Linked DNA regions of Diceros bicornis minor. The protein of the gene in region 1 interacts with the protein of each later gene in a biochemical or structural test. Links are inferred from orthologs where the notes say so. Each region holds a gene or a part of one and is shown in the gene's direction. Other genes may lie near its edges. The genes, in order: PRKCZ, MBP and PARD6B.

Evidence for each region.
Region 2: of the proteins of PRKCZ (region 1) and MBP, one has a biochemical effect on the other in vitro, tested with the Homo sapiens proteins (2 studies listed by BioGRID). The link is inferred for Diceros bicornis minor from reciprocal best matches to the Homo sapiens genes PRKCZ and MBP.
Region 3: the proteins of PRKCZ (region 1) and PARD6B form a complex in vitro, tested with the Homo sapiens proteins (2 studies listed by BioGRID). The link is inferred for Diceros bicornis minor from reciprocal best matches to the Homo sapiens genes PRKCZ and PARD6B.

The regions. Positions count from the first base shown.
Region 1 is NC_080752.1:22,812,357-22,819,583, forward strand, and holds the start of PRKCZ (protein kinase C zeta type), read left to right. Parts: upstream 1-4,174; 5' UTR 4,175-4,330; coding exon 4,331-4,401; intron 4,402-5,000; exon of another isoform or gene 5,001-5,621; intron 5,622-5,702; exon of another isoform or gene 5,703-6,079; intron 6,080-7,227. UniProt on the Homo sapiens protein: Calcium- and diacylglycerol-independent serine/threonine-protein kinase that functions in phosphatidylinositol 3-kinase (PI3K) pathway and mitogen-activated protein (MAP) kinase cascade, and is involved in NF-kappa-B activation, mitogenic signaling, cell proliferation, cell polarity, inflammatory response and maintenance of long-term potentiation (LTP).
Region 2 is NC_080755.1:65,461,220-65,468,693, reverse strand, and holds the start of MBP (myelin basic protein), read left to right. Parts: upstream 1-4,421; 5' UTR 4,422-4,602; intron 4,603-5,045; exon of another isoform or gene 5,046-5,309; intron 5,310-7,474. UniProt on the Homo sapiens protein: The classic group of MBP isoforms (isoform 4-isoform 14) are with PLP the most abundant protein components of the myelin membrane in the CNS. They have a role in both its formation and stabilization.
Region 3 is NC_080758.1:11,471,165-11,478,421, reverse strand, and holds the start of PARD6B (partitioning defective 6 homolog beta), read left to right. Parts: upstream 1-4,174; 5' UTR 4,175-4,393; coding exon 4,394-4,459; intron 4,460-7,257. UniProt on the Homo sapiens protein: Adapter protein involved in asymmetrical cell division and cell polarization processes. Probably involved in formation of epithelial tight junctions.

The DNA.
Region 1 (7,227 bases):
AAGAACTTTTATCCAAGAAAATCAGGGGGTGAGCCAGGTGCTGCCTGGAGGGCGAGGGTCCTTGGCCCAAAGCCAGGCAGCCCACCTCTGCCCTCTGCTGGCTGGCCACCCTCCTCCCCCGACCAGCCCCACACCTGGGGGCCACCCTGCACCTCCGTCTGCCCTCGGGTCCCAGGTGACAAGAGAGGGACAAGAAGGCTTCGACATGCATGTCCCCCACCCGACTGGATTTGTCAGGCGTTGGGGGCACAGGTCAGGAGGGCTTCTCTCTCTACACTGTTCCCTGTTGTAAAGTTTTACAAAAGCCCATGTCACTTTTATAACCAGTTAAAACAACAACACACCGTTGTATTTTTTCACTACAGAAAGAAGAGGTGTTGGTGATTATGAGTGTATGAGGTCTTGGCGAACATTTGGGAAGACAGAACCTGCAGAGAGGTGAAAAAGACCCACCCTCAGGTCTGGCCCCCGGCACGCGCCTGGGCCCAAGGGTCACCTCCAGGTCCTCCCATTGGCCATTACGCCTCTGCACACTGCAGACAGGGAGAGGCAGCAACCCTGCCCTGTGACCCCAGGACAGGGCCCAAGGTCCTAGGGGCCCACGTGGTCCCAGCCCTTCTAAGAGGTCTCCACCTGTTCATTCACTCCTCGTGTGCCACACGCCTGCAGACGCAGAGGGGACACAGCAGTGGCCCAGGCTGATGGGGTCCCAACTCCAGCCATGTCCAGAGGGGGAAGTGGTCGGCGAATTTGGGAATAAACACCCTGCTCTGGTTGCCAGGGTGCAGGGCACGCAGTGGACACAGCAACGCCGGGCCAGGCGTGGCTGCCTGTCCCTCAGGACCAGCCCTCTGCCCTCTGCTCCGCGGGAGTGGCTCAGCACTGGTGGCGGCCAGGAACTCCCCCTCCCCCCACAGTGATCCACCCCTGCCCTCCGGAGGCAGGCGCTGGCCTGGGCTGCCAGCGGGATGGGGGCTGTTGTTTTGCAGAGCTTGTTGAGAATACAAAAGGGGGGCTCCACCCTGTGAGGGAGGCCTCAGGAAGCTTTCTGGGCAATGCAGGCGACCCATATGCCCTCACCCTGGCCTGGGACTGGATGTGGTCCAAGACTGGGGTGTGAACCCCCTCTCCTGGAATAGGCCCCTCCCCCTCCCCCAGGCTGAGGGGCCTGGCACAGGGGGAGCTGTGTCCCACACACTCACCTGCCTTCGGGGTTTCTGCTCACGTGGCTCAGGGTTTCCTGCCCTTCCCCGTGAGCACCGGGCTGCTCCCCTCCCATGGCAAACCCTCGGTCCCCTTCCCTTCATGCCCAAATGACAGCCACAGAGCTCTGCGTGCCCATGCCGGGGGCATGGAGTCGTCACCCCGCGAGGTGGGGGTTGGGGAGCAGACTGCTAATATAGGCTTGAGGGATGTTAAGTAGAGATTCAAAGGAAGTGTGGGTCTGGGGAAGGTGCTCCTAGGAGAGGGAACAGCGTGTGCAAAGGCCCTGAAGCAAAGAGAGCCAGGTGGCTAGAGTGGAGTGAGCCAGGATGAGGATGGTGGGAGATGAGGGCAGAAAAGCTTGGGGTCCCAGATCCTGTAGGGCCTGTGGGCTTTTCCTGAGAATGATAGGAATCATCGGGGGTTTTGAAAACCAGACAGATGGACATGGACTGACTTATGTTCTAAGAAAATTGGAGGCTGCTGCAAAAATCCCAGCACAGAGGAGAGGGTGTGGCTGGAACCAGGTGGTAGCAATGGAGGTGGTGGGATGTGGTTGGAATCCGGAAATATGTTGAAGGTGGAGCCGCCAGGATTTGCAGGTGGAGAGGTGTGGGGTGTAAGAGGGAGAGGAGGCAAAGGTGACTCCGAGGTTTCAAGCTGAGCCCCTGGGAAGGGGGGGTCTGCACCGACTGGATGGAGAAGAGCACAGCTGAGGGGGGTTGTTAGCATGACAGTTTGAGTGTGTGTGGTGGGGGAAGCAGGCTCCCAAGTTCAGGGAGCGATCTGAGCTTGGGATGGTGTTTGGAGCCCTAAGAGGAAATGAGAAGCTCAAGGTCCTGAGACTCGCTAAAGACTGAGGGGGGTGGCGGGATGGGACACAGAGGACCAGATGGGGGGGGCCGCATTAAAGGCTGGGAGACCAGGAGGAGGCCATAGAGGGAGCTGGAGGAGGAGAAGGGAGAGAGCAGCATCCTAAGGTGAGAGTTTCCAGGGGACACACTGACAAGGGTCAATTAGGACAAAGCCTGAGAAATGGCCATTATACTTAAAACACAGGAGCTGGCGGTGAAAGTGGGGGGAGGAGGGGTTAAGCGGCAGGAGAGAGAAAGTGGAGCTAAGGGCTGCGGACAGCTCCTGGCAGGAGTTTCATTGTAGAGGAGCAGAGGAATGGGCGGGTGGATGGAGGGCTGGATGGTGCAGAGGTTTTTTTCCTCCCCAAAGCCCCGGTACATAGTTGTATATTCTAGTTGGAGGTCCTTCTACTTCTGTCTGAGCCACCACCACAGCTTGGCTACTGACAGACGAGCGTGTGGTTCCACGCCCAGGAAGCCAAACCTGGGCAGAACTTTAACCCTAGGCCATCAGGGCTGGCTCCAGAGGTTCCTTTATGGGGGAGAGTGCACAGCACTTTAAGTAGGTGAGAGGTAGGCTGTCGACAGGTTTCTCTGGGTCCATCTCTAGGAAGAATATGGTTCTATGAGCAGAGGGACTGTGTCCATTTGGTTCCCCAGGGTCATTCCAGTGCCTGGCACCAAGGACGCACCAGGAAGCATCTGTGGAATGAACGAGTGTGTGAATGGGGGGAGTGAGTGGTGAAGGCTTGGCTGGGACTGGAGTCTGGGTCAGAGGTTGCCAACCGGGTGGGGTGGGGAAGGGGAGGGAGGCAGCAGGGGAGAGGCTGACAGGAAGACTGTGTTTGGCAGGGGTGGCAGGGATGAGGGGCTGCAGACCTCTGAGTCTGCCGTGCCCAACTAGTGCCCAGCTGAGGTCCTGCAAACAGCAGATTTGGGTCCCTGTGGACGCAACCAGTAAGGAATGGGTTCCTGAGGGAAGCTCGAGCCCACATTTAAGGGGAACGGGCCCAGGACGCAGGCACCTGAGCAGGTGGTGTGGGGTGTGGATGGTGTCAAAGGTGACTGTCCAGGTCAAATGCCACGGAGTTAGTAAGACCCAGAGAGGCTGTGGATTCAGAAATGAAAGTCATGGGCGGCCTGGGCAAATGCAGTCTTCTTGTCCTGGGCAGAGGAGTGTACTGGAGCAGAGGGAGCCGGCTAGCGAGTGTAGACGAGCCTTTCCTGCAATGGGATCTTGGATTCCGCACGGGAACGAGGGCGGGTGGGTCGGGGGAACCAGCTGAGCCCGGACCTCCCCGGCCGTGACGCTGGCCGGCTTCTCTGCTCCTCGCAGCCTCCGTCTCCGCATCTGGAAGCTGGCCGGACGCTGGGTACGCGGTCCAAGCGTCCTTTGCAGTCGGGGGTCTGAGCTGCTGGCTGCACGCGTGCTCTCAGGAGGCGGAGCTCCCTCTGGCCGCGCCCCCCGCCCTCACGTCACCGGCGACCCCTCCCCGCTGTCCCCTAGATCAGCGGCTCTCAGACTCGCCCTCGCCCCAGAGGTTACCCGGGCTTGTTCGCAGACTGCTGGAGTTTTGATTCAGCGAGTCGGACTGGGCCGAGAGCTGGCATTCCCAACAAGTTCCCGGGGTGCGGCAGCGCAGGGGCCCTCCCCAGGAACCGCAGCCCCGCAGCCCACCTCACGGAGGGGCCAGCGTGCAGGGCGGGCGGGGGGCGCCGGACGGTCCCGGTGTCCCCGGGCCGCACGCACTGGCTTCGGTTGCCGGGCAGAGCTGGGCCGCGCGAGCTCCCATTGGCCGCAGGTGGGCCGCGCCCCGCCCGACAGGTAGTCCGCCCAGCGCCACGCCATTGGGCCTTGGACGCGGGGTCCCCCGGGGATTGGCCCAGGTGGCGGCCCCGCCTCACCCTCATTGGCCGCAGGTGCCACCGCCCCCGCCCCAGGACCGCCCGCCCCGCCGATTGGCCGCCGGCTGTGCCTCGGGTCGGCCATGTTCGGACACCCCCGCCCCCAGCGGGGCCTGGCGCCGGGACTCCGTGCGCGTCCCCCGCGCGCGCCCTCGCCGGCCGCGCCCCCGCCCCGCCCCGCCCCGCCCCGCCCGCCGCCCAAGTTCCGCGGAGTTGGCCGGAGCGGCGCCCCTCGGTCCCTGCGCCGTGCGCTCCCTTCCGCGTTCCGCCGCCGGCCCCACCTGGCGCCCCGGCCCGGCCTCTGGGGGCCCCGCGCCATGGCCCGAGCGCCCGGGGCGCAGCGCTGACGGCGGCCGGCGGAGCGCGCCATGCCCAGCAGGACGGGCCCCAAGATGGACGGGAGCGGCGGCCGCGTCCGCCTGAAGGCGCACTACAACGGGTGAGCGCGCAGCGCCCGACGGCGGGGCCCTGCCGGGGCCGGGGGCGTGTGTACTGAGGCCGGCGGGGCCGGGGGCAGAGCGGGACGCGGGGAGCAGCTCCGGACCGCGCCGACCGTCGGGGACCGTGTCACCGCAGCTGCGGGAGGGAGGGGACAGCGAGGCCCCTCTGGGCCCAGGGGCGCCCCGGGAGGTCCTGACGCACCAGCGCCGAGAGGCAGCTCCAGGCGAGGCGGGAGCTGCGGGTGCTGCGGGCGCCCTTGAACGTCACCCGCGGGAAACCTCATGGGCAGAGCGGGGTCAGCCTGGTCCCCGGCGCCCAAGGCTCAGGGTCGCCGGGCCCTTCCTGGAGCGCAGCGGGCGCAGGTGGCCACGCGGGTTTTCCCCCGTCGTGGCGAGGTGGCGCTCGGACTTGCCCCGACGTCGCCGCGCGCCCCATAGCCCTGGGGACAATGTTGACATTTTCCCTGGAAAGTTGGCCAGGATGTTTAAGGCCACAAACCTGTAAGGACTAAAGTTTTTATCAAATTGTGAAAACTGCTGGCAGACTTTTAAAAATCGGAGTTTCTAAACTTTTCCCCAATTTACCCGGCCAGAGGTCTCAGTTTAAGAAAAGTTTAATGACCGAGGTGAAGGCCAGGTGCGGTGAGCTGCCCGTGGTCGCACGAATGGAGGGCGCCTGGAAAGGCTCCCGCGCGGTTCCGTTGGGGGCCGGACCTTTCGGACTCGGTCCTGCGTACGCGCACGGCGCCCTGGACTCGACCTGTCTTGCTGTGAAATGGGGCGAGCGGGCGCCTCACAAGGGTCAATGGCCGGGAGCGTCTGGCCCGGCCCCGGGAGCGCTGGACGCTTGGCCGCCACCGAACAGCACTAGTGAGAGTTTAGGGGGCTGCGCCCGGAGGCCAAGATCCCGCTGCCCACCTTGAGCAGTGCAGACGGCGCTGGAGGGAGAACCAGGCGCCTTTGCTGCTGCTTCTTTCCACCGGTGTTCGTCTCCAGTCGGTCGCCACTGCTGGGGCGGCGGGAGGGGAGCGGAACGCCAGCCCTGCGTGTGAACTTGGCGGTCTCGGCTCTAGCGGCATTCCATGGGGTCTTGCCAGAGCCCGGCGCGTCCTCCGACCTGAGGAGGAGGGGCTTCGGGCTTTTGACCTCGGGAGCGCGCCTGGTTTGGTGTCTCAGGTCAGGCCTCTTCCGTCTCCTCTGCCGTCCTCAGCCGGGTCACCTGGGTGCACAGTGGGGGAGGGGAGTTGGTGGCAGAACCGGAGGGAAGAAAGATTTCTGGGAGACAGACCGGCCAGCCCACCTGAAGAGGCGGGGAGTCCTATCTTCTGGCCGAGAAGGGTGGGCTGCCCACTAAATCTGGTGAGATGTCAGCTCGGTCCTGGTTCTGGGACTCGTCCAGGGGCCAGAGCATCTTGGCTTGTGCAGGGGTGAACTCTGGAAGGCGTCACTATATCAGAGACACTGTCCTCTTTCCTGCCGGGAACCTGGAATTGAGCAACACGCCACTGTAAAAATCAGAGTTGATCCTTAATGAGAGGAAGTCCACACCCGGAGCCACCCGGGTGGGTGGGGACTGGACCCCCCAGCCTTTCCCCAGGGCGAGTTCAAGTAGGCACCTCCAGGCACTGAGCAAGGGGATGGAGGTGACCGAGGGGGTCACAGGCAAAGTTCACTGGAGCCCGGGGGAGTTCTGGGCTGAGCCACCCGCCCACCCACCCCTCCCCTGGCTTTGGCCCCTGGAGAGCGCTCTGGTTACCAGGGGTAATGTGACCTGTTGAGTCTGGTTTCCCCAGGCTGATGAGGCCACGCCCCCACACTCTTTCCTCTTCCTTGCATTCCCATCTCTACTCCGTCCTCCCCTGCCCCTCCCCCTCCCCTTCCACTTCTCCCCTTCCCCTTCCCTCCTCCCTCCTCCCCTCCTCCCTCTCTCCCCACCTCTTCCCCTCCTCTCTTTGCTTCATTTCCCTCCCCTTCTCTCTCTTTCCCCACTCCTCTTCAGCCCCTCTCCTCCTTCTCCTCTCCCTCCCACACCCTTCCTGCTTTCTGCCCCAGGCTGAGCTGAAGGTTCCTTCCCATTCCCATCTCCTCACTCCCTCCAGTGCCTGCTTTTCCTAAAGTGCTCTGCCCCGGTGCCCCTCCCTGAGGACTGGAAACCCCGCTGTCTGAGCTGGGAGACCTAGTCCTCAGAGCACAGCAGTGACCCTGGGCCCGAAAGACGCCCACCAAGATCGGGGCTCATTTATGCAGACCCCGCGGGTCCACGTGACATTCTGTCTGCTGCTGCCGCGGGAGGGAGGGCATTTTTGGGCAGCACGGCCAGGAGCTGAGGGTCAGACACGTTGAAAACTCTTCTTGAAACTGGAAGGGTCTTCAGCCGCCCCCACAGTGATAGCTTCTCCTCGCCACCCTTGCCCGTCCCCTGAGGCGCTCTGAAGGCTTGAGACCAGGGTCTCCCTGCCCCCAGCTGGGCTTCCGGAGGGTGTGCCGTCCCCGAGTCTGGGTGGGGTCCTGGGTACCTGCGTTCTCAGGGGACTCCAGCTGATGTGCTGAGTTTGCAGACCTTCTCTGCCCGCTTGTCTAAGATCACAGCAACAGCTGTGCTGGACCCTCCCTCTCTCCAGCTCAAGCTTGTGTTCCAGAACTTCTGTTCCAGAACCTGCTATGTGCAAAGCCCAGGGGTGGGTACTGCGGCCGGAGGGAGACCCAGGAGTCCAGGGAGGGGCAGCCCACCAGGTTGTTGGGTGCAGACTCCTGGTGGCTGCTGCCCAGGGCTCTGACTTGGGGCCCTGAGCTGGTGGCCTCCACAGCTCCTGTTTGCTCAGAGG
Region 2 (7,474 bases), on another chromosome or scaffold:
TGGGGACACAACTCAACCCATAACAGTGAGTTGTTCTCAACAGAAACGAAGTTTCTTCACCACTTCAGGTAAACTGCAGAAAACGTACGCCTGGTGGAGGAAGGCAGATCGGGTGTGTGGGCAGGAAGGAGAGAGGACCATGTAGAGAACAGAGGTGCAGACACACAAGCCGCCTCGCCTCACAACAGGCGCCCCGTGGTGGGCAAACCTTGGATTTGATGGTCACTTTGTGTTTTCCCTCCATAGGACTTGGCGGTGGCTCTCACCTGCGGCCCCACCTGTCTCCTCTCACACAAGCACCTCCTTCGCACGTGTCGTCCTGTTTGCTGGCTACTCTTCCCTTACCCCCTTCATCTGGCTAACTCCTACCCATCCATCAAAACCCTCCCTTCAGAAAGCCTTCCCAGACCCATGTCTCACCACCGCCCCCTCACGTGGCTGCCCTTCCACGGTGCTCAGCTGGCTCACCACTCTCCTTCTTCATCTGGCTCTAAGGATGCACCTTATTTAATTGCTGAATAAATAGTTCTGAATAAATAAATGAGTGAATGAATGAACGAAATGCTTGATACATGAAATCGTCAGTTAATAAAATACTTTCTTCTCTGGAAGTGGAATCATGGTTATTTACAAAGAGTGTAATAAATTGGGGCCTGGGCTGTGGCGTCCACACTCTCGACATTTCCTGATCCCCATCCTTCCATTTATCATTCTAACCGACCTTCCAGCTACCACTGAGGCATAACAAAGCATCCCAAACCTAGTGGAGTAAAGCAACAGCCATTTTGTTATGCTCCTGGATTCTGGGGATCAGGAATTTGGAAAGTGCACGGAGCGGATGCGCCTTCCTGCTCCGTGAGGCTGGGAGCTCAGCTGGGAAGACTCAGGGGCCGAGGGGGACGGGGACAGAAGTGTGTCTGAAGATTTGTCAGCGTGCGCCTCCCCTGGGCTGTCAGCAAGAGCACACGCAGGTGGTCGCTCCAGGTGGCTGCCTGGGCTTCCTCAAAGGACGGTGGCTGGGTTCCAAGAGCGAAAGGCTCAAGAGAGAAAAGGGGAACTCCAGGGCATTGTCATGATCCAGCCTCAGAAGTCCAGAGCCTGACTCTGTTAGTGGAGGCAGTCACAAGGTTCACCCAGGCTCACAGGGAGGGGACACGGACCCCACTTCTCCATGCCATGAGTCACAGTCACAAAGGAAGGAGAATATGTGGGACTGGAGTTGGTGTCAGGCCATCTCTGGAAAATACAATTGCCAACTAACTCCATCTTATGGTATCTACTCGCCAGTGCAGTGAGCCCTAAGAAATTAACAGGTATATTGAAAAGTAACCCATACGTAGTTAGGGATCTTACTGAAAAATACAGAAATTCTAGAAGCAATTAGAATGGTAGTTAACTACCAAGTATGATATCTATTGAAATACATAGATTTCCTTCTCAAATACAGAGAATCGCTAATATATATCTGTAGCTCACTAAGAACAACTTTAATCTCTATGGATAGCAGTTTGCTTTTATTTTTATTAACAAAACTATAGAACTATGGTTAAAGAAAAATATATATACAGTATATACACACACACTTTATAAAACAGTTTAAAAATACAAGAAGTTGATGGTAGAAAAATGTATGAAAGATTTTTTTGTTTTTTCCCACATAACCAGAGACCTACAAATTTCCTTTTCTTTCTTTTTGTCCTGATGTTTCACCAGAGGTGAAGTAACAAATGGCTTTTTGTGAGTGTGTTTCTTGTTGTGTGCATGTGTGTATGTGAACGTGTGTGTGGTTGTGGTTGTGTGTGAATGTGTGTGCGGTTGTGTGTATATGTGAATGGACACATAGTTGTGTGTGTTTGTGGGTGTCTGGTTGTGCAGGCGTGTGTGGCTGAGCCCTCAAGTGTTTTCCTTGTTCATATAACGGCTTTTTTTTCTATGTTGCATTTTCTGGAGTTCGTGCACCTAATTTTCTTCCACTGACCACAGCAGAGGCCATCCAGTTATTAACTGGAATTTATGGTGAAGTAGTCAGCCCTCAACCCTGTACAGGTAGATTATCTGCTTTACGAACATCACCAGCAAATTGTTAATTACAGACCAGGATGAAAATGAAGTTCAGGTCTTTTCTAAGCAAAAATATAATTACAAAGGTAAATCTGTTGATGGGGAAAGTAAAGAAAACTCAAAACGCATGCAATCTGGTCTACTGGAAATTATTTACATTAATTTACTTACTTCCTTTAGTTTGGGTAATTTGGAGTTTAATTCGACTTAATAAAAATTTACTGAGTGTATATCATGCACAAAACATTGTGTTATTTGCTGCAGTATGAAAGACTGAAGGTTCCTTCCCTCAATATCTGAAGTGAATGAGAGGTAGAGGGAATTTGCAATATGATTTTCCTAAAAATATCGAAGAGACGATGAGGCCTGGATCATTCATCCTTTACTTGTCAAAAGACTCCCTTCAGTTTCATTCAGCAAAATGAATCTGTCATTTTGCTAAAAGACACAGGGCCATCTTTATGCAAAGTGCAACTCCCCATGGTGATGTGCCGGCCTATGTATGCCTCCTCCACCTAGGCTCCTCTCCCTGGTGGGCCAGAGGGGAAGGTGCTAAGACTGGACCTCCCAAATGCCCATCCATCGCTCTATTAAGCAGTGGTCCTTCCTCCCTCACAGACATTTTCCTTGAAGTACCCATGAATGTGGGGGCATTATATCCCCACAAAATATGCATGGTGGAATTTTACAAATACTTAAAAGAGTTTTAACTGGAGCTGGCAAGCCTGACATTTGCAGAGATGACTGTTGGTATGTGTAAAGTCTCTATAAACCACAGAGAAATCAGCAGAAGCAGCATGAAGCAGAAGAACAAAGGATGCTGTTTCAGAGTGGTCTGTGCGCCTCTCCAGCCTCAGCCTTCACCGACATCTGCAAGTCAGGAACCCCAGTCTCCTCGGCATCCCCATCTCCCCAGGAAGAAGCAAAGACACATCTGGGGAGAGGACAAGCTGTCTGTGATGCCCAAACTGGAATCCAAATGGAACCCAGGTCCTGGGTCCCCTGGCCTGAGCTTTAAGGAGTTGGGGGCGGGGCTTAAGAATGACTTGAGCCAGGGACCTAGGAGCTTCCCCAGTTAGACTCACTGCCCTGTGCGCCCTCAGTGTCTGTCAGGCTCCCTCACTCCCCCGGTTATCCATTCCTGAACGTCAGTGTGAAGGCACGGGGCAGAAACATTGGGAAGGAGACAAACTCGATGTTCCGCACAGCCAACACCCCTTTTTCCCTGCCCCTCCTGACCTCCCACCTCAAACTCCGGGAACGCCCACGGTTTCTCCTCTGGCCACTTCTCTCAGGAAACGATCAGATTACGCGTTCATATTACTGTGGACATATTTCTCACAGAATCACCAGCATCTGAACATAGTTGATAAATCCCCGGGGCTGTGAGGGCGGCTGGTCTGGGCAGGCAGCCCTGAAACCACACTAGGAGTCGGCTCTACTGTCCCCCGCAGAGCTGGCCCAAGGGACAGGGGCTCCCTGAGTCTTGCCAAGCTCCAGACTTCCCCTCTCCGTCATAAACACCGTGTGGGGCCCCGAGGGCTTCTAGGAAGTATCGTTCAATTCCCTAACCCAGAATCTAAGTCAGGAGGGAGCTAGGGTCTCAGGCGGCGTCTCTCCCCCTTCCTCCTACTTTCTCACCATCAGGAGGAAGCCAAGAATCCAGGGGAAAGGGCCCTCTGACTCCACCAGATCTGTGTGTCCAAGTGACAAACGGACCAAGAGGATGACACCGACCACAAGCCAATAGATGCCTCGGCGCCTCAGGACCCAGGTTCGCCCCTCCGACTGTGCCTGTTTTGGTCTGTTTTACCAGCGCTCTTCTCCCGCCTTCTTCGTGGAAACCTGTGCTCTCCGGCGCAGCACTTGTCAGGGTGCTGGGACCCTGCAAGGCGAATGCCCGGGTGCTCTCCAGGGCCCGGCCTGGCACAGGGCGAGCACTAGAGACGCGGCACTGACCGGGCAGTCGGAGCCCGCGCTCTGGCCCTCGGGCGCCTGCCTATGGAATGGGGCGTGGAGGAGATGCTATCTCCCGTCCCTCCCGGCCAGGTCGGGCGGGGGTAGTTTCAGAGGCTAAGCCACGAGAAAAGGTTCAAAGAGCAGTTCAGCGGCGGCCCCACTCCGGCCCCGCCCTCCCAGGGCTGACCCTGCGCCCCGGTCCCCGCGTGTCCCCGGAGCTCCGCGTGGCAAGGCCGTCCCGCAAGTGGTCCCCAGCCCGCAGGCAGCGCCGGCCGGGGGCGGCAGGTGGGCCGGGCTCCGCTCGAGTCCGCGGTGTTTACCTGGCTGGCTGGAGCCCGGGAGGCGGGGGAGGGGCGGAGACGGGGCGGGGTGCACGCCCGGCCCGGGAGCAGCAGCAGTCAGTCACCGCCGCCGCGCGCAGCGAGGACGAGCCTCCGGCCCTGGCGGCCCGCGTCTCCTACCCCGGAAGGCAGTGCCGGCGGCCCCGGGACCCCGCGCTGCCCGCGCTTGGGGCCTGGGCGGCGGAGAGGCGGCCTGGGACCCCGAGGCGCCCATCGGCCTGGAAGCAGCGAGCGCAGTGCGGTGGGTTATCCTCGCCGGGGGCGGGGGGCGGCGCGGCGCTTTGTCTCCGCGTCCTCAGAGCGGGGGACCGCGGGGACCCGGAGCCCGGGACGCGGGGCTAGAGGGGGCGGACGCCGGGGGCTCTTTCCCTGCGCCGGACTCGGGGCTTTCCCGGGCCAGGGCGCGCGGGGCTCCCCCGGGCAGCGGCGCAGGTGGAGAGGCAGGTGGCAGCCCCATGGCCTCCCTGCGAGGGAGTGGGCGCGGGTGTAGACGCCAGTCTATGGCGGCGGGGCTGGAACCCGACGGATTTCCAGGTGTGGTCTCTGGCCGGGCCGGGCGACCGGGGTGGCGGGAAGAGCGGGCGGCCTAGAGGTGGGGTTTCGGGGTGGGAGGTGACACAGGTCAAAGAGGCCGCTCTGGGCGGTGCGGAGACGGGGCTAGGGGCGAGCCGACGGGTGGGCCGGGGTGCCCACCAGCGTGAAGTGCTTCCTAATTCCCCGCCTGGAGCCCAGCGGACGACCCCGCCTCCCCAGCCCCAGACGAAGCACAATTTCCCTTTGAGCGACGAGGGCGGCGACAGGCGACTCGCCTGGCTTCCGCCTTGGCAGGGCCTGTCCCGCTCGGGCCGCACCGCTGGCAGCCACCTGCGCCTCCTGTAACCCACCTGGGCCCACCTGCAGCCATCTGCGCGCCTGGCGCCGTGACCCCTCCTGCGCCCCACGCGCCGGGTTCGTTGTTCCAGAGGGTGTCGTGTGTTCCGCTGTCACTCCGCTGACGCCCGGCTGGCTTTGGTCTTGTGGGATGCTGGTGGTCAGCGCCTCATTTCTTTTAGGGTCTACTCGCGTCCCCTGTTTCGGAAGGCGGAATGGGGTTTGGAAAAGTATTTCGGTTTCTTTGGGGATCTCCGTCAGACTGGCAGGAAACAAGCGCGTTCTGGTTCCTGGTTCTCTGTTTTCCAATTGCGACAACGTGAGAATCAACAACATGTGTTCAGTTTATCTCTGCGTCAGTGGAAGGCACGTGAGAGAGTTGGGATGTGTTGGGAGGGCTGTAAACGTGGTCCGGGGGGCCTCTGGCTGTTCTGGCAACGGACACGGACAACCGGCTAGGAAGAGAGTTTTTCAGAGGAAGGGAACTGTAGGGTGCTGCCTATTTAAGACCTGTGGGTTTGGAGAAGATTGTAGCCCGCCAAGCCCTTTACACTTTACAGACTGTCACCCACGAGTCAGGGACCACCCTGAATCCGGCTCAATCCTGCACCACAGGCCGGCTGGCAGGCCCCCCCTGCGTGACGTGGGGGCCTTTTTAGACCTTGGGGCCCCGTGTGCAGAGCTGGCGAGAGCCTGGAACAGAGCAGCCCTCAGTGAACAATGACCTGCAGGGAGGCCAGTAGCCTAATAGCTAAGGAAAAGTGCCCATCGGCGGTTTTATTTTTTTAAGTGGGATAAACGAAAACCTGAAGGGAGAGAAGGCAGTTAAAGATTACTGTAAAATGTTGGTTAATAGTAACTCGCAAGGGTTTAACTGTTCTGAAATGACTACTTTTATTAAGTAGAGGTTAAACAAAAGTTATTTGGTTCAAATCCGGTTTGAAAATCTTTCTAAAGTATCACATCTCTGCCCAAAGATAAGAAAATTTAAGAAATGTTCCGTGTTGCATGTTTAGGTGTTGGGTTGCTCCTCCGTGGTTTTGAAGGTCAGGGCTTGTGTGTCGTCCATGCTGGCAATGACTGTGCTGAGTGAAGGTGTCTACTAAAAGCTGAAAAGGAGTAGAGACCAAGCTTTCTTATGACTTCTATTTCTGCTTGAATTTTTAAACATTAATTGAAAGTTATTCTGTTTGATTTTTAGTTTCTCTCTAGATTCTTTAAAAATTAGACACAAGATTAGCAACTGCCTCTGTGCCTTTTCTATCCAAGTATCCAGGTAGCATTTATTGACCCCTTATGAATTGCGGAACTCTCTTCTGAGAGCTGTACCACGTTATTAAGAGTCAAGACGGGACTGGCCTGGTGGCATAGTGGTTAAGTTCATGCACTCCCCTTCAGCAGCCCCGGGGTCAGTGGTTCTGATTCTGGGGTGTGGACCTACACACCGCTCGTCAAGCCACGCTGTGGCGGTGTTCCACATACAAAATAGAGGAAGATGGGCACAGATGTTAGCTCAGGGCCAGTTTTCCTCAGCAAAACAAAACAAAATGTCATGACTACCTTAGGATACCCTCATCTGATAAAACTACCCTATAAATACCCTCGTTTTTACTGACGAGAAAGCCAAGGCACAGAGACACCCCAGGAGTTCAGTTCAGTTCCAGGAGTCTCCCACCAGCCCCTAGTTGCAGCCCTGCCCAGCCTCGGTGAATAGGACACCTTGCAGACTTGCAGAGCTGCCTTCCATTTCTTTTTCTTTTTAAAATCCCACCTCTAATGAGAGACCACACCCAACACAATATGCTTCCTCTTCAGAATGATTTGACTCTACGGTGCTGTCGTGTGTCTGTTAGTCATCCTCTCCTTAACTTCCTTAGCTATCAGTAAAGGAGGAAAGAAAATATTCTAATTACTTAGCATAATTTTTATTAAGTGGTTGTTAAGCAGTAAGACACTTCTATTGGTCCATTAGAGCTACTGAAGGAAGTTTAAATGGGCCTGAGTTTGGGGGCTTTGGGAGCTGGGTTTAACACAACAGTAAGCATAGAGGGAGACCCTCATGCTCCCGCTAAGCAGAGATGCTGGATGAGCAGCTAGTGCATTCTCCTGAGCAGATTTCAAATCTCCATCTAAACGTGTAGCAGTCAGGCTTCAACCAGAGAAACAGAACAAGAGGAGATAGGTGTTAGCGACTTACTGCAAGGGATCGGGGGTGGCGAGGCAAGTCTGACATCTGCAGGACG
Region 3 (7,257 bases), on another chromosome or scaffold:
ATATTATTTGCTAAATAATAACCACTAACATTCGCACCACGCTTGATGGATTGCAGAGAAGTGTCACGTATAGTTTCTCATCTGATCCCTGCAACAACGCCATGAGGTGGTCAGTACCATCTGATTTTATAGACGAGGAATCTGAGGCTCTGAGTGGTTAAAGGAACAGGGTCAAGGTCACGTAGCCAGCAAGGAGCAGAGCCAGGGCTCAAATTAATATCTATCACCTAAAAAAATACCAAGATCTGAGTGCCTTCAAATTTAAACCTCTTTCATGTTACTTAAAAGTAAATAAAATAATCCACGGGAAAGCACAGAGCACAGTTCCTGGCACCAGGTCAGACCCTCATAAATGTTAGTTAGTTATCATCATTTTCATCAACACCTCCTAGGAACTGGCATATTTCAGCTGATGAGTGCAGCATGTCTGTTGACTCTGATGGAAAGATTACCCTACTCATTCCAGTTCATCCCTGGTAATGTTGAAATGATGATCAATCTCCATTATCCCTGGGGTACCATAGCATGTGAAGAGCTGGAAGGGACTGTGGAGATGATCTCATCCGGTGCCTGCATTTACAGATGGAGACGTTGAATCCCAGAGAGGGCAAAGGTCAAACCCCTCAAGGGCAGGGCTCACGCACAATGCCTGGCACATACTGCCTCCCACGAAGATGAGTTTTTACCTGAAAGGGCATCTAGCTTCTTAAAGGCTCCAGGAGATAATTCTTTAGCACTCCCACCCCACCCCCACACAAAGTACTAACATGTTATAAGCTATTAACCAGAAAATAGATCATGTGACTTAATTCCACCTCTGCAAAAGGGCTTAAAATGCTTTGGTGAGTCGTCTGAGATTCATAAATATACACTTCAGCTCTTTCTCAGAGAATTATTAACCAGCTCCATCAAAAAGGGAACTTGAGCAGTCAAGGAGAAAAAGAGCTGGTAAGAGAAACTTCTTGAAAAAAATCTCACCACTATTATACATGGTTTCTTGCCACCTCTTTCTTTTTTTTTTCCCTAAGAATTGGAGGAGGAAGGAAAAAGTATCATTGTGTAAGACAAGAATCAATAAAAAATAATTGTGGAAAATTACAAACTCTTTCCACTTCGCAAGGTAGATACCGAACAAACACAACAGTTGTGTTACGTCGTAGAAGAATGTAAAGACAGAAAGTATTGAACGGGAAGATAAAGCAGAAATGTCACCCAGACTAGCTTCTTTCAGAGGGTAGAGATGGGCCAGAGAGATCTGACAGTGTGTGGGTGTAATAATCAGTGGCAGCCCATTCCCAACTAATGAGTTTGTGAACCTATAATTTATAGAGTCCATGTCACACACTCACCTTACTCATCCCCCTAACTCACTGAGTATGAATCCTCCCAGGCACGGGACTAGCTTTTCATCCCACACGTAGGTCCTGATCAGCTTTAACTTGAGGATTTGGGGGTGGGGAGGGGTGATGGAGAGAAATGAGATTAGGGTTCAGTCTTCAAACCAAAGAAAGAGGAAGATAAACTCCTCTATGCCATTTCTCCAGGCTTCATGCTTCTCAAGAAAGGCTGAAATTCAGGCCCCGCGAGCAAACTTGTGGCCATAACAGCTCTTGGGATGAAAGGGTTCCCCTCCTCCACAACACCTTTATCAAATTCAAGCTATTTTCCACATTCCTGCCTTACACAACCCAGGCGCACTTGTGACGCAGGCCGAAGAGCAAATTCCGCTCAGGAGATCCAGGAAGCTCTGGTCTGGCCCTCCCTTCTAGAAAGGAAAGTCCAAGTAAAGAGGGATGCCACACCCGGGGGAGGGGAGAGAGGACGTGACAATACCTCCAGGAATGCAGGGCCCACACAGGTGCGCTGGCACCCACGAACTTCCTTTTGAAAAGGGCCTGATAAATCAGTACGGATAACAGTAATAAAGCTCAACCCAACAATCGCTCACATAGAACTGGGGCCCTCGCTCCCAGGGTGTGGCCCCAGCAACTGGAGAGAGGAGGGTGGCAGTGGAGAATACAGATCCCTAAAAGTGGTGACATGGTTCTAGGGAGCGGTTCTCAAAGTGCGGTCCCTGAGGCCTTTTCAGGGGATTCTCAGAGCCAAAACTATTTTCACAATACTAAGATGTCACTTGCTCTCCTGACCCTCATTGTCTCACAGGTATATGATGGAGTTTTCCAGAAGGGACATGATATGTGATATCATCACCCTGATGACTACAGGAATGTGTGCTTGTATATTCTTGTGTTTTACAAATTTTTCAGTTTTAATTCTAATACGATGCATACTGAAAGACATAACACACATAAACAAAATACTTGGGGGCCCTCCATAATTTTTAAGAGTATCAAGGGGTCTTGAGACCAAACTGTCACGCTCCCCCATCACAGGACCACACTTCATTTCCAGCTCAGCTTGAGTCACCGAGCAGGTGCTTTAAACAGGGGGTGGAGGAGGCAGCCTTATTATTTAGCTTGGGGTGTTATCCCTTCCATCCGTACTTCCACCCAAAACAGCCAGAAACACCATAAATTCTCCCACAAACATTTGGTGAACTGAACCACTCAGGGGGAAAGATGGGTTTCTCACCTTTGAACTCAGGTGGGGCAACGTTAGCACAGAGAAACCACACTCCCTCAGCTCCAGCACCCAGCAAAGGCATATCTGAGTACCTGCTGGGAGTCAGGTACCAGGCTACATGCTGACAGTGAGCAAAGCAGATGTGGCCCTCGCCTTCTCAGAGCTTCCATCCTAGGGCAGAGGTGGATGACTCCTGGAAAACATGGGAAAACTGGGACTTGTCACAAGTGCTGGGAAGGAGGGGTGCGAGGTGTCAGGAGGGACGTGAAGTGGGCAGGAGATGAGGGGAGCAAGGCCCTGAGGACTCAGGTGGAAGGCAGCACCCTAACCAGCTCTTCTTGGCCGTCTGGGATTAGAAACCCCGCCCACACGCCCAGGCCCGGCTACAGGAGGGCTCAACAGCTCTGATGAGCGGTCCCACCGGTGAGCCCTTCTGCAGGGTGGGGGGACTTGCGGGTCTCCTCCTCACCGCCCCAGCACGGCCAGTGCTAAACAGGGTCCCTCTGAGGAGGCACTGGGGCATTTAGAGAGAAAGATTTAGTCTTTTGTTATCAGGGAAACGAAGACAATCCAAAGGCTGTTATTGGTGAGAAACAGCAAATAGCCAAGAAAGGGCTAGAGGAAGGGGAGAAGACTTCAGAAGTTAAAAATAAATAAAAAAGAAGAAAAGAAAAACAGAAAGCCCTGGAGGGCTGGTCTAGGAGAAGTCCTCAGGGAAGGCGGACTTGCGAGGAGCGAGGAGCCATCCCGGGCCTCAGCTCACTTTCCCTCCCTTCCAGCGCCCGCTCGACCCCTTGGGACCTCAGGGACGAGACGGAAGAGTGTCTACGGACAAAACCACGCCAGGAGAGCCCTGAGGTTCTCCCCAGTAACTGCTGCAGGAGCGAGAAAACTGGAATTTTGCAACCACAGTTGCAACCAGACGCCTAAACGACGCAAAGGGGTGGTGGAGGAACATTGTTGCAGGCTGCAACAGCCCTAAGTGGAAAGGGGAGCGGGGGAGGCCGGAACCCACCAGCCCCGCCACGTCCCCGCAACCTGCCAGGCCCCGCGTTCCATCACCCAGCCGGGCGCGAGCTCCCGCCGGGACCCGGGCAACCAGGCGCGCGCCCGCGCGTGCGCACAAGGCCCACCCGCCCCGCTCGCCTCCAGGTGCGCTCGCGCTTCCGGCCGGCCGTCCCCGGGCGGAAACCCCACAGCCCGCGCATGCGCTCTGCTGCTAGGTCGGGGAGGAGGCCCACGGCTTCAGGTGATCCCGCCCCTCCCTCGCAGCGCGGGACCAATCGCGCGGCTGTGGGCGGGATTTTCGCGAAGGCGGCCCGCCCACACGCGGCGCGAGGCGTGTATCGATTGGTTGGCGCCGTGGGCGCAGGTGCGCGCTTCCTATTGGGTGTGGGCGGGGCGCGAGCCGCGGAGGCTTCCGCGCAGGCTGCAGGTGAGCGCGCGCACGCGCCGCGGCTCCCGCCCGGCTCGAGTGCGCGCGCGCGGGCTGGCGGGGGAGGCGGCCGAGAGCGAGGCTGCGGCCCCGTGCCCTCTGCCCCGCCCCCTCCTCCTCCTCCGCCTCCGCCCCCTCATCCTCCGTCGCGGCCGCCGCCGAGGCCCGAGGGAGGGAGCCGCGTCCCCGCCCGCCGCGCCTGCAGTCCGACCCTCGGTCCCGCCGCGCGAGGAGCCAGCCGAGCGGAGCTGTGCGCCGAGACCGAGCCGCGGCCGCCCCGCCGCAGGTGCCTGTGAGACGCGCCCGGGCCGCAGCGCGTCCGCCGCCGGCCGCGCGCTCGCTGCCCGCGCTCCCGCCGGGCGGCCCGGCCTCAGCATGAACCGCGGCCACCGGCCCGGGGCGGGCGGCGGCTGCCTGGGCACCATGGAGGTGAAGAGCAAGGTGCGCGGGGCCCGGGCGGGGCGGGGCGGGCCGGCCGGGGGGCCGGGGAGCTGCCGCGGGGTCGGGGGCGGGGCGGGGCGCGGTGGCGCGGCTCGCAGGCGGCAGATGGTGGATGGTGAACTTGCGGAGAAGGGGCTAGGGAGGGGCCGCGTGTCTGCCCCTGCCCGGGTGCGAAGACCGGCGGAGCGCCTGATCGCGGTCCTGGTCGAGGACGGGAGGAAGGGCCGGGGGTCCGCGAGGGCGGGAGGCTTGGAGCGCGGCGTGCAGCGAAAGGTCGGGGGGGTTCTCCCTCCCGGCCTGTGAGTACGAGGTATTGGAAACACCCGTTCCGCAAGATGTTCCCCCTCTCTGGGGTGCGGGAGTGCATCGAGTGGGTCGCCCAGGGACGGAAAGAGCGCTTTTAAAGTTAGCTTTGCCTCTTGCTGGGGATTTTTCTAGCACTAACTTTGGTATGCATTTAATCTAGAAAATTAACGCTATCGCCTTTCCTTCGAGTAGCACTTTACAGTTTGGGTCTGGATGCTCTTTTCATTCCATCCTGCCACCTTTTCACATCAAGTGTTTTCATTCTAGGCCAGCGGTATGCCAATCTGCTGATAATTACGTCGGTATCTACTGAATTCCTAAATTGCAAGGCTGTCTGAGCAGGAGGATAGTCTGTGGGGATTAGTTCGGGAATGCTTTCCAAAGGGGGTTTTGAACTGGAATTTGAAGGTGATCGGCAGCCACGGGAACATTTTCAGTGAGCATTTCATGAATTGAAGAGCCAGAGGGAGCTTAGATAATCTAGTCTGTTTCTCCAAGAAGACAGAGGCTCAGAAAGGTTATGACTTAGCCAAGCTCTGCTTTTATGATGAAATCTTAAAGCCTTTTTTACAGAGTAACTTTTAGGCGTATAGAATACAAAAGAGAGGACATTGGCTGGGCCCTGAAAACATTTGAAATAGAGTTGGGAAGACCAAAACACATAAAAGAGTAGGAGAAAAGTAAAAGCATATCAGCTTCAAAAAATGGAATATCATTGAATGTGTACTTAGGGAGAATGCAAAATCAAGGAGTGATTTTAAGTGATAGAGTAAAGCTCCCCGCAGCCTGTGGTAGAATGGTTTTTATTATCTGGAATTGATAAGCAAAGTTCTGTAAGTTGCTGAAACTGAGATTATTCCTTCCAGAATATCTACATTCATTTTTAACATCATTTTACAGTGTTGTTTGCAACTTAACTCATGTATCAGGAGAGGCAGTAGTTTCAGAACCCATTCGGTTTAATAAGAATAGAAATGTAATGATAGCAATTTAAGCAATATGCTCTGCCCTGTGTCCTCTGTGGAACTGCCATAGCAAATTGAAGTGACATCGTTGAACTGAGAGATAAGATGACTCAAAATGTATAGAGGTTTTCCCTTAGCAGTGTAGTGGCGGTAGTGGTTCCATGCCCAATAGTTGAGCCTTGTCGTGGCATTTCTGTAATACATTTACTTTGGGCTTGTGGGAGTTGAGGTTAAGAAAAGAAAAACACTTGTGATATTGCGTAATCTTAAAATTCAGTTTGTGGTCCTAATCTTGGTAGTTAAGCCTCTAATTTTTTTATCATAAGAAAACATGAGTAGGGATTTTAGGTGCACTGATTAATACAGTCAAATAGTAATTTATCTCTCAGACTAGGAAACCTTGAGCACTTGGGGACTGGAATTGCAGGCTTTCTGCCCTTCTCTTCTGTCATCTGATCTGTGAATATTTCCCATACTTATGTCTAAACTACATGTTATATATTTGACCTGCCATACTGCGCTTTTAGTGAACCATGTCTTGTAAGAGAATCAAGGCAGTCTGAGAACCTGCACCGAATGAAGTGTGGTCCCACTGTTCTAGCTGTTCATAAATAGGCTCAGTATACGTATTGTTTCTAGGGTGTCTGTGATACCTCACGTTCGAAATATATATTGTTGATACATTTATTTTTAGTGGATTAAATGAAACACTTGTCATCTTGACCATTTGAAATACTTGGTCAGATGTTGGAAACAGTATTTCCCTTTTCACTGCTTTAATGATGTCACAAGCTTTTTACAAAACTGGTGGCTAAGAGATCGTAACCACAACTAGGTGATGTGCAGATTCACATTTCAGAATCTCTTTTTCTTCTGTAGAGAAAACAGTAGTATGAACTTTATTATCTTTGCTCGTGGAAGGGGAGATGGTACAAATAATCAAAGTAATGGATAATGCAGAAGTAACTATAGTTAAATTGTGATACCAGCTACCGTGTCACTTTTCTTTGGTAACTGATTTATCTTGTTTCTCTTGAGTCGGGAGTTCTTAATCAATCATCAAGGTGGTGTCCTTTAAGAACCTTGGAACAGTCTTTGAGCTGTACGTTTCCTAATTATTTTTCCTGGGCAAACAGGATATTCAAATAAAGTTTGCATTTCTACAGTGTACCCACATCTTGGGAGAAGGGTGTCCATACGCATTCTGGGTGGCCAGGACAAACTAGACCAGCCTAAAAAAAGTTGTAAATGGTTTACATAGTGAAGAATTGTTGATTGGGTCTTAATTTGATCTCTCTCTTCCTGTTTTTCTTGATGTAGTGAAAAGTTCTCTTCATCCTCTTGTTGTGCTACAAGAAGCATAACAATTTCTCTTGTTGTTTTTCTGCTAACGTTTGCTAAAGGGCACATCTACGGTGAAGCCATACAGTTTTCCATTGTTTCTATCATAACATTTAAGCAAGAGAAAAAAATGCTGAGCAAAGAATTTTCATCCAGAAGCTTTAGCAAAAGCATTGAAGCCCAGAA